Linked DNA regions of Diceros bicornis minor. The protein of the gene in region 2 purifies or fractionates together with the protein of the main gene of each other region. This does not show direct contact. Links are inferred from orthologs where the notes say so. Each region holds a gene or a part of one and is shown on either strand. Other genes may lie near its edges.

What was found. The genes of interacting proteins can lie anywhere in the genome.
Region 1: the proteins of DCAF13 (region 2) and FBL purify together in Homo sapiens (affinity purification with western blotting; 3 studies listed by BioGRID, with this or other methods). This does not show direct contact. The link is inferred for Diceros bicornis minor from reciprocal best matches to the Homo sapiens genes DCAF13 and FBL.

What each region holds. Positions count from the first base shown.
Region 1 is NC_080773.1:13,614,186-13,621,291, reverse strand, and holds the start of FBL (rRNA 2'-O-methyltransferase fibrillarin), read left to right. Parts: upstream 1-4,073; 5' UTR 4,074-4,172; coding exon 4,173-4,182; intron 4,183-7,106.
Region 2 is NC_080760.1:21,525,825-21,533,425, forward strand, and holds the start of DCAF13 (DDB1- and CUL4-associated factor 13), read left to right. Parts: upstream 1-4,593; 5' UTR 4,594-4,671; coding exon 4,672-4,741; intron 4,742-7,601. Other genes in the region: SLC25A32 (mitochondrial folate transporter/carrier), read right to left, coding at 3,997-4,150. UniProt on the Homo sapiens protein: Part of the small subunit (SSU) processome, first precursor of the small eukaryotic ribosomal subunit.

The sequences.
Region 1 (7,106 bases), on a different chromosome or scaffold from region 2:
TCCGCGCTGCTTCCCCCATTCCTTGCCCTTCGCATCTCTTCCATTTGGCTGTTCCTGAGTTGTATCCTTTTTCCTGAATCTTATAAGCTGTTCCAGCAAATTGTTGAACAGAGGAAGGGGTCGTGGGCTCTCCTGATTTATAGCCAGAAGTATGGGTGGCCTGGACTTGCCATTGGTGTCTGAAGTGGGGGCAGTCTTGTGGGGCTGAGCCCTTAACCTGTGGGGTCTGCGCTAACTCCGGGTAGTGTCCAAATTGAACTAAATTGTAGGACGCCAGTTGGAGTCTGCAGAGAATTGGAGAATTGCTTGGTGTGGTAAACTCATGCATTTGGTGTCAGAAGTGAAGTGTGTAAGTACAGAAACACTTTTCTTATACAGCATATGAAGTAACAGGGACAGTTGGATGGCAGATATGGCGATGGGAGGATATTAAAGTTTTCTTGTGATTACTTCTATCTTCTCATTCAAGTGGGAAGCAAAGTCATCATCTAAGAGTAAGAAAGGAGGAGAAGGTTCTGAGGTTTAATGAGAAAGGAGAAAGTGTAAAATAATCCTTCAAGCAAGTCCAACCACTTTGGAAAATAGTGTGTCAGTTTCTTAAAAAGGTAAACATACTCTTACCATATGACTCAGCCATTTGACTCCTAGGACTCTTCTCAAGAAAAATGAAATCACATGTCCACACAAATATTAACACATGAACGTTCATGGCAGCATTATTCATAATAATCAAAAACTGGAAACAAATCAAATGCCCATCAATAGATGAATGGATAAACAAAATGTGGTGTATCCATACAATGGAATCCTCAGCAATAAAAAGGAATGAATGACTGATACATGCAACAACATGGAACATGATGCTAAGCGACAAAAGCCAGACACCAAAGACTACATATTGCATGATTCCATTTGTATGAAATGGGATAATGGAATTGTTCTGAAACTGGATCGCAGTGATGGTCGCACGACTGTATGAGTTTACTAAAATTCATTGAACTGTGCACTTAAAACAGGTGGATTTTATGGTATGTGAATTATGCCTTAACAAAGCATTTAAAAGTTAACACATGTTACCAATACTACCAATTGGGAAAAAAATAAAATGGGAGACTGAGTGGATTAGGGACATGTGATAGGATGGCTGGGCAGCACTAGGGCCCATCGGGTTTGTGGTCATGAATCCAAAGTGAGACCAGCCAGAGTGGGTGTGAGTTTTTCTCCATCCACATCCAGCTGCCAGGGTGCAGGTGCAGGGGAGGTGGACAGTGGACTCAACTGGGTGAAAAAGACAAAGTTAGAAAAGAGCACATATTGTGAAGGTGTGAGCAAGGGAGTGGTGATCATGATGGATGGGGACTCAGGCTGGGTGGTGGGAGTGGTATGGTCATGGGGAGGTGAGGGACAGGGAAAAGGCAGTCAGCTAAATGAACTGGTGGAGCTGAAGGATCATTGGAGCAATAGCTCTAGAGGGAGTGGGCTAGAGAGACAGGAGGCAATGGGCAGACAGTGAGATGCATGGATCTGAGATTCTGCAGAGTGTCAACCTAAAAGGAAAATTTGGCTGTTATTTTACCCTCAAAATGAGTTTATTCAGGAATAGCCAAAAGAATTGCAATTTGGGATGTGCACACTATGGTGAACCATAGGCAAATCCAGAAAACAAAGGAAAGAAGCTCACTTTTGTACAGAAAAAGGAGTGGGGAGGGGCTGTTCTAAAGGAAAGTCCATTGGGAGAAAGTAACAGTTCAGGGTGGCAATGGCTTCTCACTGGCGGTTCTCATTGGCTGGGCTGTTGCCGGGTGGGGAGAAAAATCTTCCTTCAGTAGTACAGTAATTGTACTTCCTGTCGGAGATGCAAGCTAAGCCATTTCCTGTTTGAAATAATTAATGATATATGCTAGGGCATGAGAGCGCCCCCTGCAGGCCTTCCAGACTCCAATTTAGTTGAGGTTTCCTTTCTTATTTTGCACAAAGGGCTGCAGTTTTGGAGTTGTCACTATCTGGGGACTGGTCTTTCTCCCTCATCGTCACCATTGTGTCCCCAGCACAAAGTCTAGGTGTGACCGTGGGAAGGAAGGGTTGGGTGGAGGACAAGATCACTAGAGGAGAGGAGATTAAGGCATAGAGAGGCCAGAACCGTCCCAGAAGCATCAACCTGAATATGGAAATCACCAAGAATTATGATCAGAGCAGCTTGAGTGGCAGTGAGCCTGGAGCCAAAATGATGAAGTGAGCTGGGAGTTGATAGAGCTAGCAGCAAGAATGAGAGCAGGTGCTATAGTATAAGGTTCAAAATTAGGGGCTTAGGGAGGAGGCAGAGAGAAAGGCAAAGAGCAAGGAGGAGAAAACAGCTCCTGCTTGGAAGGGCTGCACAGAACGGCATGTCTTCAGGGGAGAGCTAGGTTGTGGTTAGAGCAGGAAGGTAAAAGGAAGGCTCAGAGGGAGCTGAGGATATGAGAGATATAGGGAAAAGCCCTCAATGGCTCCCCCTCCCAGCCCTGACCATTCTGCCTGTACCTCCCCCATTCTGGCCCTCACCACTCTGGGTTGACACTGTCTGAGACCTGTCTGTCTCCCCCACTGGACTGGCAGTTCTAGGAGGGCAAGGCATGGGACTCTTTCAGTCACCATTGTGTCCCCAGCACAAGACCAGCTGGTGGGGCCAGCCTGGTGGCATAGTGGTTAAGTTCACACACTCTGCCCCAGCAGCCCGGGGTTTGCGGGTTCAGATCCCAGGCACAGACCTACACACTGCTCCTCAAGCCATGCTGTGGCGGCGTCCCACATACAAAATAGAGGAATACTGGCACAGATGTTAGCTCAGGGACAATCTTCCTCACACACACAGGAAAAGACCAGCCGGCACCCACTAACTACTCACTGATAGTGCCAATTTCAGGTCTGCAGAGCAAGTTGGCAGGTGAAATACCTCAGAGCCAGGAAATGGTGCCAGGATTCCAGAAAATAGGGCTGGCAACCCTAAATCTGCACTGTAGCCTGACTGTTTTTGTCCTTTAGAAAAAAAAATGTTTTAATTGGAAGGCAAACAGTAAAAGCCATAAGAAGTAGGTAACATCCTCCTGAATTGGAGCCATTTGAAGTACTATGCAGCTCCTGGATATCCAGAATAGACTCAGCAGATTTTCCATCTTAATATTTAAACAAATTTTCAGGAATGTTTCTGTACGGCTGGAACACCCTGCACAGAGAATGTAAAACAGCATGGGTTCATTCATTCATTCAACAGACATTTACTGAGCACTCACTCTGTGCCAGGCTCTGTTCTAGGTACTGAGTGATACAGCAATGAATGGAACAGACTAGTGGACTCTCCTGGAGGTTTTAAGGAATTTTTCATAGTAGCATTTGTTTTGCTTTGTGGAATGAATATAGGCATGAATGTTAATTTATAAAATTACAAATCACAAAATTCTCAATACTTATGCAGAATCTGCTCACTCCTTTACCTCCTTTTAGCTCTTTGCTCAAAAGTCACCTGATGCGTTCCTTGACCACCCTACGAGAAATGTCACTCCCTCCACACACAACACACACCAGTCCCTATCTCCCTTCCCTGCCTTCTAATAACTTGTTTGGCGTCTGTTTCTCCCATTAGAAGACGAGCTCCAGGAGGGTGGGGATTTTTATGTCTTGTTCACTGCTGTATTCCCAGCGCCTAGCATAGTGCCGGGGACATACAAGGCGCACAATAAATGCTTTTCGAGTGTATGAATGGGAGCCCAGAGTCGGTCGGTCCCTGTTCTTGGGGAGTGGAAATGGATCACAAAGGCTTTTGGGTGTAGAGGGGACCTTTGGGAGCTAACGAGGAATAGAGAAGAGGGGCCGAGGGCACGGCCCGTGCGAAGGCTGGGAGATGATCCCTCTTTACCGGGGTGCTCGAACCGGTGATGGGGAAGCGGGAAGTGTGTTTAGGGTACCGATCGCTGCACAGGTCAAAACAGCGTGGAGAGCGACGAGGCTCGGGAATCCCCGCCCACAGCACAGGCGCCGGGCTCCGGGCGGAGCTGGCCTCCGAGGGGCGGGGCTGCGTGGTTGCGTCACGCCCCGTACGTCGCCGCGCGCGTGCGCTCTTTTCCACGTGCGAAATCCCCGGGCTCGTGGAGTTCCGGACGCGGCAGGCTCGTGAGCCGGGCAACTCCGCTCTCGCCATGAGGCCAGGTGCGGCCAGGGTTGGGGTCGAGGGTCAGGGACTGGGGCCTGGCGGGAATCGGGGTCCCAGGCCGGAATCGGAGTGGGGGGTCCTTGGCCTCAGGGCAGGGGTTCTGGGCTCGGATCCGGTCTCGTGTGGGGAGGGGGAGGTCACGGTCGTGAGTCCCTGGAACTGGAGGGTCCTGAACTGGGATTCATCTCACTGAGGCCGTCGTTAGGGGTCTTGGACATTGGGCCGGGGGCGGCAGTCGGGGATACTGACCCAGAGTCTGGATCCAAGCGTTTGGGGTCTGGGATCTCTGGGCATGGGTTTGGGAACATGTCTTGGTTTGGAGGTGGCGAGTCCCTCGTGCTGGGTCTGCGAGGCCCCCGTTTGCCTCCCGTATCGCCGCCGCTCCCACCGTCCCCTTAGCCCCCAACCCAGCTTCTCAGAGAGGGCCGGAGTGGATGAGGACTCCCGCCTTATAGCGTGTGGCCCTGTCTGGCCCACGTTCCCGCTCTCGACTCTTCCGAGGAGGCGGGTCCCTGAGGATGGAGTAGAGATCCTGGGCCTAGTGATTCTCAACTCAGCGGTGAGATGAAACTTCACAAGCCCAGGATAGGATTAGCGTGGGGGAGGGGGGAGGTAGTCACAGGGCATAAGTGCTTTTATCCTTTCGATTTTCCCTGAGATTCTGATGAACCCACCCCACCTCCCTCATGGTGTAATGATGAGAGCCTTGGCTTTGACAGCTGAAGGGTCTCGGTTCAAAGTTTCAATCCTGGCTCTGCTTCTTAACCTACTGTGTGACCTTGGGCAAATGGCTTTACCTCTCAGAGCCTCAGTTTTCTCAGCAATAAAATGGCTCCCAGTTATAATTTAGTGAGATCATGTTAACAAAAAATAATACATGGTGGTAATCATTTCACAGTGTAGAAGTGTATCAAATCAACAGGTTGTACATCTTAAACTTAGACAATGTTGTATGTCAATTATGTCTCAATAAAGCTGGGGAAAAAATAGCACAGGGCTTGCCATATAATAGTATTGGCTCTAATTGTTATCTTTATCTTCTCAAGGGGAACAAAATTAGGGTCTTTCTCCCTGGTGTCTCAGCTCTTCCTAAGTCAGGCCATACCCCTCCCCACAACTTTCTCCACTGGAGCTGAGGAAATCTTCCACTGTGATCAAACGGGTCTATTTTCCTAGTACAGGTTTTCTTTTTTCTTTTTTTTTTGTTCTGGTGTGCGGAGAGATGGGGTCATTGCGGGGGTGGGGTTTGTGAATCCATGCCCCCTCCCAGGCTCTCTTTCTCTTCAATGTTCAGGGAGCTACTGATGAAGTGGGGTGGGAGGTGCCAGGCTCTGTATGTCCTGAGACCCTGGTATCCCTGCAGGCACCCTGTGGTCTGATTCCCCCCAGGAATGGAGGATACACCTTCCTCCCAACCCTTCCTCCGTTGCGTTAGGATATGAAGTGGTAAAAGTAAATCTACCAGGTTTCAGGAATCGGCTCTGCGGGAATGATTTTAGTCTGAATGAGAGGAAGCCTTTGGGAGATGTTGAGCAGGGATGCTGTCAGTTAGACTTGATTGACACTTTTAAAAGGATCCCTCTTGCTTCTGTGTGTATAAGACTTTTGGGGAGCAAGAGTGGACATGGGCACATGGGTGGAAGTTTGGTGCTGTAGTCTACTAGGAGATGATGTGGCCTGGACCAGGGTGAGAGCAGTGGACCTGATTGACAAATCGTCATGATTTGGGAATATATTTTGAAGACAGAGCCAACAGCTTGTATGTGGGTGTGAGCTAGAGGAATTAAGGATAACTAAGGGCTTTTGCGTGTGTAGCTGGAAGGATGGAGTTGCCGTTTTTGAGATGGGCACAGCTGTGGGAGGAGAGCAGCTTTAAACCAGGGGGTCTGTGGACCCTCCACCAAAAACTTCTAGAAAAATGTGTGTGAATATGTGTTTTTCTGAGCAATGGGTACTTTGAGTACCTTTTTCTAAGAGCCCCAGGACCTGAAATGGATTAAGCTATGCTTTGAGTATCTGGGACTGCAAATTTACCTTCGTGCCCATTGTCCCCCATGCCGTGCCCACACTTCCCAGGTCTCTGTTCCTCGGGCCTGGGTTGAGAACCTCTTAGGCCTAGTGGTTTCTTCCTAAGTAGGAGGGAGGGGGGACTCATTCCCCCGAGTTTGAATAATTCAAACTGTGTGCCAGGCAAACTGTGTGCCAGGCAGTGTATTAGGTGAAGTGCTTTGTGTGTATTAAGTCATTTACTCTTGACAACTCCCTGAGGTGAGCACTGTGTTATCTCCATATCTCCGTCTTATAGGTGAAGTTTTCAAGACTCCCACAAACCTTCCCTGCTCTCTAGGGTCGTGAATTGCGTGGCCATCTCGCTGGATGGACTACATGAGCTGCTTGAGGGGAGGGGCCAGGGCTCTGGTCACCATCTGATCACCTGCTTTCTGAATGAACAGAGAGGGTGCTCTCTGCAGGAGCAGAGCCCAGGGATCTAAGGGTTATCACAGACAGCTCATTGAATGTTTACCAAGCCCCTGCTTGGTGTCAGGTGTTGCGCACGGTGCTGGGGATGCTGCGCTGACCAAAACAATTAAACATGCCTGTCTCTTTGGAGCTTGATTCTGGTGGAGGAGGCAGGCGGTGATAATATTAAAAACGCCGTGTGTGGTCATCGATAGGAAGAACGAGCAAGCACGGGAAAGGTGGGGTAGCAGAGAAGGCCTGTCTGAGGAAGGAACATTTAATCAGAGACCTGAGTGCAGGGAAGGAGGTGGGCCTAGCACGTGTCCACAGGAGCCAGGCAGGGGGACAGCAGATGTTAAAGCTTTAGATGCCGGAGAGCGAGTTTGTTCTTGGAGAGGAAGAGCGTGGGGCCCAGGATAGAGAGAGCGCAGTCAGAAGTCAGCAGAAGCCAGGGCCTTGT
Region 2 (7,601 bases):
GAAGACCTGGGTTTGAAATCTTCCCTAATTAGCTATACAGTCACAATCTCTCTGAGGTTCAGCATCCTCATGTATAAAATAGGGATAAAGATCACCTATGTCACAGGTTGTTATGAAGTTTATACAAGATAAGTTTCAGAGCAAGTAACATTTCTCTCAAGAAATGTTTTGCTGCGTACTTTACAATCTTTCTGATGCTTCCTGCCCCCGACAATTCCTATGTTGAAGCCCTAAGCAGGGCCTCCCTATCACTTAAGCTTCTGGTAGAGAGAACTACAATCTCAGCAGGGGCTTTCTCACCTCCACTGTGCCTCAATCCATTGCAATCTGGTTTGGACATCCACCCATTACTGCAAGTGCCCTAGTTAAAGACCTCAGAGTGTACTCGGGGAGTCCTCTCTTCCTTACTAACCCTTGAGCAGCACCTGACATTGTTTACCTCCTATAACACTCTTCTTTGGGCTAGTTTCACACCACAGTCTCCTGATTTTCCTTTTACTTCTTTGGCTACGAAATTTCCTTTGCAACCTCCTTCTCTTCTGCCCATCCTTTAAATGCTGATTTTTACAGGCAATCTGTCCCAATAGGGGAAGTCTCTCGATCACTAAGTCGCTGCAATCACGTCCCTGCACTATAGTTTTTACATCTTTAGTCCTGATCTTATTCCTAACATCTAGACCTGGCCTCATTTTTACATGGCATAAAAGATGTGTCAATCTGACAGCTTCTTAACTTTCTGGAATCATTTTCATTTCTACCTGTAGCATTTTACCCTTTAGCTATACCAAACTACCCACTTACGGTTTCACGCTAACAGCATATGCTATGGAATCAGATTTTCTGGGTTTGAATCCCAATTCTAACACTTCACTGTGTGACCCTGAGTCAGTTACTTGATTACTCCGTGCCTGAAGTTTCTGATCCATAAAATGGGAAAAATAGAACCTAACTAAAAATCACAAACAGTTAAGTGAGTTAATACATAAAAAGCCCTTAAAATCATGCCTGGCACGTAGCAAGCATTCAATAAGTATTAGTTCATTTATGTTACTGGGTCTTGCAAAACTATATACATACAAAACTGGACTGTAGGCTATTCTTGTTACCAGACTCTACACTTTGGTTCCTCGATTAACTTATGGATTATTAGGTTTTCAGATTATTTTATTTAAAAAAAAAATTTTTTTTTACTGAGGTCACTTTGGTTTATAACATTGTGTAAATTTCAGGTTATTTTAGAAAATCACTACTTTTACACCTCAGTCACGTTCTTTGTTGGGGCTCTCTCTCATCATTCTTGATGATTTAGAATTATATCTGAAAGTTAGAAGAAGCCTCAATGATCACGTAATCCCACCTTTCCACCCAATACAGGAATATCTTCTAACCTCTGTCATCCAACTTCTGAACCACTTCCAGTCATCACCAGTTTCATTTCTGAGCACCAACACTTTGCCAGGTCAAAATCTGCTTCCCTGTAATTTCCACCCAACCTCTCTCTGCCCTTTAGATCAACCCACAATAAGGCAGTTTCCTTTCCCACATGGCTGATCTCTAAACACCTTAAGTCCCACTCCACCTCCCATGCTAAACTAGCTCCTCCAGTCATTTCTCACATGAAATGATTTCTTTTGTTTTTTTTTTTTGTGTGTGAGAAAGATCAGCCCTGAGCTAACATGCATGCTAATCCTCCTCTTTTTTTTTTTGCTGAAGCAGACGGGCTCTGAGCTAACATCTATTGCCAATCCTCCTCTTCCCCCGCCCCCAAAGCCCCAGTAGACAGTTGTATGTCATAGTTGCACATCCTTCTAGTTGCTGTATGTGAGACGTGGCCTCAGCATGGCCGGAGAAGCGGTGCATCGGTGCGCACCTGGGATCCGAACCCGGGCCACCAGTAGCGGAGCGCGCACTCAACCGCTAAGCCACGAGGCCAGCCCTGACATGAAATGATTTCCAATCTTTCTATCACTCTGGACACCTCTGAGTTCCAATTTGAACTGAATTCACTGAAATATTCCAGGTTTGGTTTAACAGCACATTCAAGACTAACAACCCCTGTCACTAGATATTACAATTTTATTACAAGGGCTTAAATTTTATGAAAGTATAAAAACTTTAGCATTAATGCTGATGGGCAATCAACTATTTTGATTTCAGTTATTCATCTTCCTAAATTTTCCTCTTTTCTATCACCATTTCACAGCCACATTTTATGATTACAAAGTCCTGCTTTGACTCCTAGATCTTTAATTTTGTCTTCCCATCCAATCTCAATCAACTTATCTGTCACTTCAGCCCTAATACTCTCCCCATTTCATCAAGATTACCAATCTTCTCAGGAACCAAGAATTCTCTTTCTTCAGGCACGGTGTGCTTCACAGCACTGTTTAAACTCATCAGGCCAACCCCATTATTCCTCAGTGATCATCTCAACTGTCCCCCCTTCTGCTCCTAGACAAAACGCTGAAGAGAGACACCAAGTCATATAGGTCTGCATCTGCAGCCAAGTCCAGAATTCTTTTCTTCATGTTCAAGCAATTGTATACTAGGGATTTCTAGAGGTAGTATGGTGAGTGATTAAGTGCCACAGGGTTCTAGAGTTAGACTGCCTGGGTTCAAATCCTAGATCCGTCTTTACAAACTTGTGACTTGGGCCAGTTAGTCAATTTCTATTATCCTCATCTGTGCAACGGGGATAATAAATTCACAGGTTTGTTCAGAACAGTAAATTAGATAATGCACCTAAAGCTCTTAGTGCATTGCCTTGCTCCTAGTAAATGCTCAATGAATGTTACTTATCATAATTTTTATTTGTGCATACATCATAAACTCCATGGAAATTACATGCCTTTGTGGGTTTTCTTCTAGGGATAATACTCCATAATTTTCACTGATTTTCCTTCACAGAATGGCTTCTCACCTCCTCTCTGTCAAAATATTAGTCTTTCTACAGGGAATCTCAAGATCTGATGGAACCATCGGCAATTTATAATTTTGATAGTCTACCACTACTCATATTTTGGTATTTGGATTTATTCCATTTTGCCCTTGATTTTATGCCGTCTAGAATTATCTTTTATATGACTAAGTCTCAAGCCTCCAATTAGACTCTAAGTTCCCTGAGAGCAAGAACTTTGCTTAATGCTTCTGTATCTCACACAGCAGTCTAGAACTATTAAGAGAACAAAATATTGGGGAATAGAATTAATCTGACTCTTTAAGATAAACCACTTCTGCAGATCTAATCCTCAAGGCAGAACTTAACTCGTAGTAATAAGAAAACTGACATGCCAGAAGACAGTTTCCAAATAAAATTATCAGACCTTTGAAACTATCTTTTCCAGAATTTAGTGCTGAATTTATTCTAAACTACTTTGTTAATTTCAATATACTTAATTCACTTAACTCAGTGCACTTAATTCAATAAGCCTAAATAAAAAGCAAAATAGTATTTGAATTCCAGTGACTTATTCCTCCACAGGACCTTGTACCACACTATAAACGCCAAAAACAAACCTTCAAGGGAATCCTATCCCAAACCTACTCCCAACCACCTGCTGAAGATTACACCCTACCCCTGGCACTTGCCTTTTCCTCTCAGCCGCGCTGCCAAACACGTGGCTCCCCTAAGATTTCAAAGCACCCTCAAGGGTGAACGATTTGCACGTGTGAGGGCTAAGCCCTAAAATGTGACAATCCCTTTCTTATTTTACAAATCAGGCTCGGAATCCTACATTCTACACCAATAAGGACTTTTCTCAGACTTCTCTCTCCATCCCTTAGTCTTGGGGAACCGGGGCGACGGCGGCCACACCTCTTTACCAGGCTCCCCTTCCTCAAATCTAGTGCCAGGTGAGCCCGGACAAACAGCATCTTCTTCAACTCTTGCTTGGTTAGTATGAAGAGACAGGGGAGACCAAGGCTTCCTTTTGCGTCTTTATCCCCCAAATCGGGGTGGCAGCAAGGAGGAGCGCCGGGTCCTGAGCGGGCTCTTACCGGCGAAGCGGATCTTCACCAGGTCGAGCGGGTGCAGCGCGAGGTTGGACAGGACTCCGCCGCTCACGCCCGCTACCAGGTTCTCGTACCGGACGTGGCGGAATATCGTGCTCCACGCCGACGACCCGGACGCCGACTGGCCCTGACCCGTCATAGGCTCGGGGCCCGCTGATACCACCGCGCCTAGGGCCGCGGAGGTGGGACCAGATGCAGTGGCCGCCACCGTGAGGACGGTCGCCGCCCTGAAGCAGGAGACGCGGGACGCGAGCCCACTTCCGGGAGCGGTGCGCGGCCTCAGACGCCAGGGCACCGTCAAGAAGCCGAGAGCGCCAGGAGCAGCGGAGCAGGAGAGGCGCGCAGGCGTAGGTCACGCCGGCAGAGAGCGAAGGAGGCGGGGCGCCCGCCTCTGCCGAGGCCCCGCCCCGCCCACAGCTGCGGCCCGCTCGGGCGGAGGGACGCCGATGAGAAAGCACCGCTGGAGAACCGCCCCCGGCCAACCTGCGCAAAACTACGAAGCGCCGCAGGGTCCAACTGGATCGACCGGTTTCCACTCCGGGGAAGTCACGTGACAGGAAGTAGTCTAGAAGAAGCGGATGTGGCATGTGCCCGAGGAGGCGGAGGTAACCCGAACGCGGAGGGCGAGGCCGGTGGAGTCGGGGAGAACCGGCAGCAAAGATGAAGGTAAAGATGCTGAGCCGGAACCCGGACAACTACGTCCGCGAAACCAAGTTGGATTTACAGCGAGGTGAGACTAGTTAGTAGGGAGGCCGCCAGCCTTGGGTCTGGCCTCAGCTTCCACCGAGTAAAGCTGGGGGGAGGCTGGCTCTCCAGGCTCGCTCTTTTCGCCAGGGCTGACTTTGTGTGAATAAGGCCGTTGCGCGACTCGGTAGCCGACTTGTCTTCAAGTCCTTTTTCTAAGAATTTCTCTAGTGGTACGTGGGAAAGTTGGCTCTATGGCGAACGCTTCCGCCTCACCTCTTCCAGGTGCTGCTTTCTGATTGTTCTTGGGTTCCATTATTGAGAAGTGGAACTTGAATGAGCCAAACTCGTGGATTGAAGGATTTAACAGTTAAATAGGCTTCTTGAAGCCTTCCTGCTGCTCTAACTTCCGGCCACTTTACTACTTAAAATTACGTATTTCGGGATGTGGAAAGAGACAAAGATGAAACTTAAAGCCATCAGTTTTCTCTTATCAACAGCTGTTGGAATTGGGAATGGATAAAATGAAATTGAGTTTTATTTATCCGTGACTGGTCTGTTCCCCCATTAACATGCTGACTGCTGATGAATTATAGTTTATGATATCTGAATGACAAGGGACCAACCATATATGAACAGAGTATTCTAAGTGAAGGGTATAACAAGTTCAAAGGCCTTAAGGCAAGTATGACTTAAGGCATAACAGAAGGGCCATGTCGTCAGTTGGAGTAAGTGATAGAAGACGAACGAGGCTGGAACAATATTTCGCTGTTTTGATTGAGTAGTAGTTATCAACATATATGTGAGCATAGCTAAGAAGTAAATATATGGCCTCTACTCAAAAGATGTTTACAGGTTAAGTAACAAGACAGTAACGTTTCTAACATATAAATTAGGTTGTGTCACTTGGACTTGACATCATCCCTACTCCTTGAACCTGGTCCCATCTTCCTCTCTGGTTTCACCAGTCACTACTTTTCCCGCAAGTAGCTCACGTTTACTCTCGCGAATCTGAGTGCATTTCAGGCATTTTCTTTCAGGCATCCTGTGGCGCTCACCCTTACCCAATTTCTCTCCTTCCTCTGGGAAGCTTTCTCTGAACAATAACCTTTTCATACCCCCCCCCCATTTAAGCACCCCTCCTCTGTTTTTATCACGTGTTTTTGTACTGATATCAGAGTGTTTATCACATTGTCTCATGGTTATTATTTTGATTATCAGTCTTTTCCATCAGACAGCCTGCGGAGAGGAGTAGAATCATATTTCTTTCTATATCTGCTGTGTTTAGACAGCACCTGGCACATAGTAGTTGCTTTATAAATGTCTATATGAGGGAATGAGTGAGTGACTGGCTGGTCATAGAATCCCAATGTTAGAAGGTTATTAGTCATCTGATCTTGTTAAGGGTCTTATTTTCTATAACATCTTCCTATTCTTTATCTGTCTGAGGAAAGGTTAATGGATAGCAAAACGGAACAATAGAAGTAGTGGAACTCTTTAAATCATAAAATTAAAAAGACATTTGTTGTCTTCCTTTGTTTTTTCATTCTTGTTTAGGTTTTATTTCCTTGTAAATTTTGTGCAGTGTTCAAATATTTATTTGAGTATTCTGATTCATAAACCCAGGGTAGGCATCAGGGAAACTGTATTTTTAAAACTCCCTTGGCAATTCTGACGTAGGTCGTTAACATACAGATCTGTGAGAACAGCCTACATAAGTACATGCCATCAGTTTGTTAGCTGTGGTATCCTCGTAGCCTTGTGACATATTGCAGGTGTTCCATATATATTTATTGAATGTTTATTGTTGACTGAGTGTATGAATTTAGAGGGAGGCGTGGTTGTGGTGATTTGAAAAACTTGATAGAAGACATGAGATTTAAGCTGAATATTTTTAAAGGATTCATGGGTTTTAGATAGGTTAGGATGAATGTTGGCGTATGTTCTTATTGGAAGAAATGGCTTCTGCAAGGATTCAAGAGCGGGAAAGTGCTAGGCAGTTTTAGGTGACAGTGAATAAACCAGTTTGGCTGTAGCTGAGTTTCAGCAAGTACTACTTGGAGCTGAAGAGGTAGGTTGAGACCAGATTGTGGAAGACCAGAAAGGAGCTTGAACTTCATTGCATTGGTCAGAGGTCTCTAAAATGGAGGTACTAGGCTACCCATTGCAGAGTGGCAAAAAACAATTAATACTTCAATTTATATTTCTTATATTAAAAAAATAATGTTTACTTTAATAAAACTTACACTGACACTGACATCCTTGTTTCGGCTCTATGTTAAATACGTAATCACATGTTTTATGTGGTACTTCAGGTATCCCAAGAAAAGACTGGAGGGTTGACAAAGGTGTGCCTGCTTCCGCCTTCAGAATATTGTAGCATATCGCAGTTTACATTTATTGGGGGATTCTGTTATTTTAAATCATAGAATCTTTATAATAATTTGTAAAGTGTTGGAGAGGGACCATGAAAATCTTTTTTCCTGCAGAGGTGATATCGTTGTAAAGTTCTTAGAAGAGCTGTGGAGCATGACCATGAATTAAGAATTTTTAAAATTAGCTAAACATTTTGTGGCTGTGAAGACTGGGTAGCAGTTTTTATTTTGAAAATAAAAAATACATAACCTGCAACTTTAAGGTCCCTTTTAGTGATTAATTTTCAAAAAATCTTGTGCTATGATCATTCTGAAAATGTATATTTGGAAATGTTCCCATCATTTAAAAAATTTTGTACTGAAAATGGTGGAAGTGTCATGTGTAAGAATTCATTTTTGCCAACATGAAAAAATTGGTAAAAAGAATGATCTACCTTGTTGTTTTTTTTGGGTTTTTTTTGGTGAGGAAGATTAGCCCTGAGCTAACATCTGTTGCCAGTCCTCTTTTTGCTGAGGAAGATTGGCCATGGG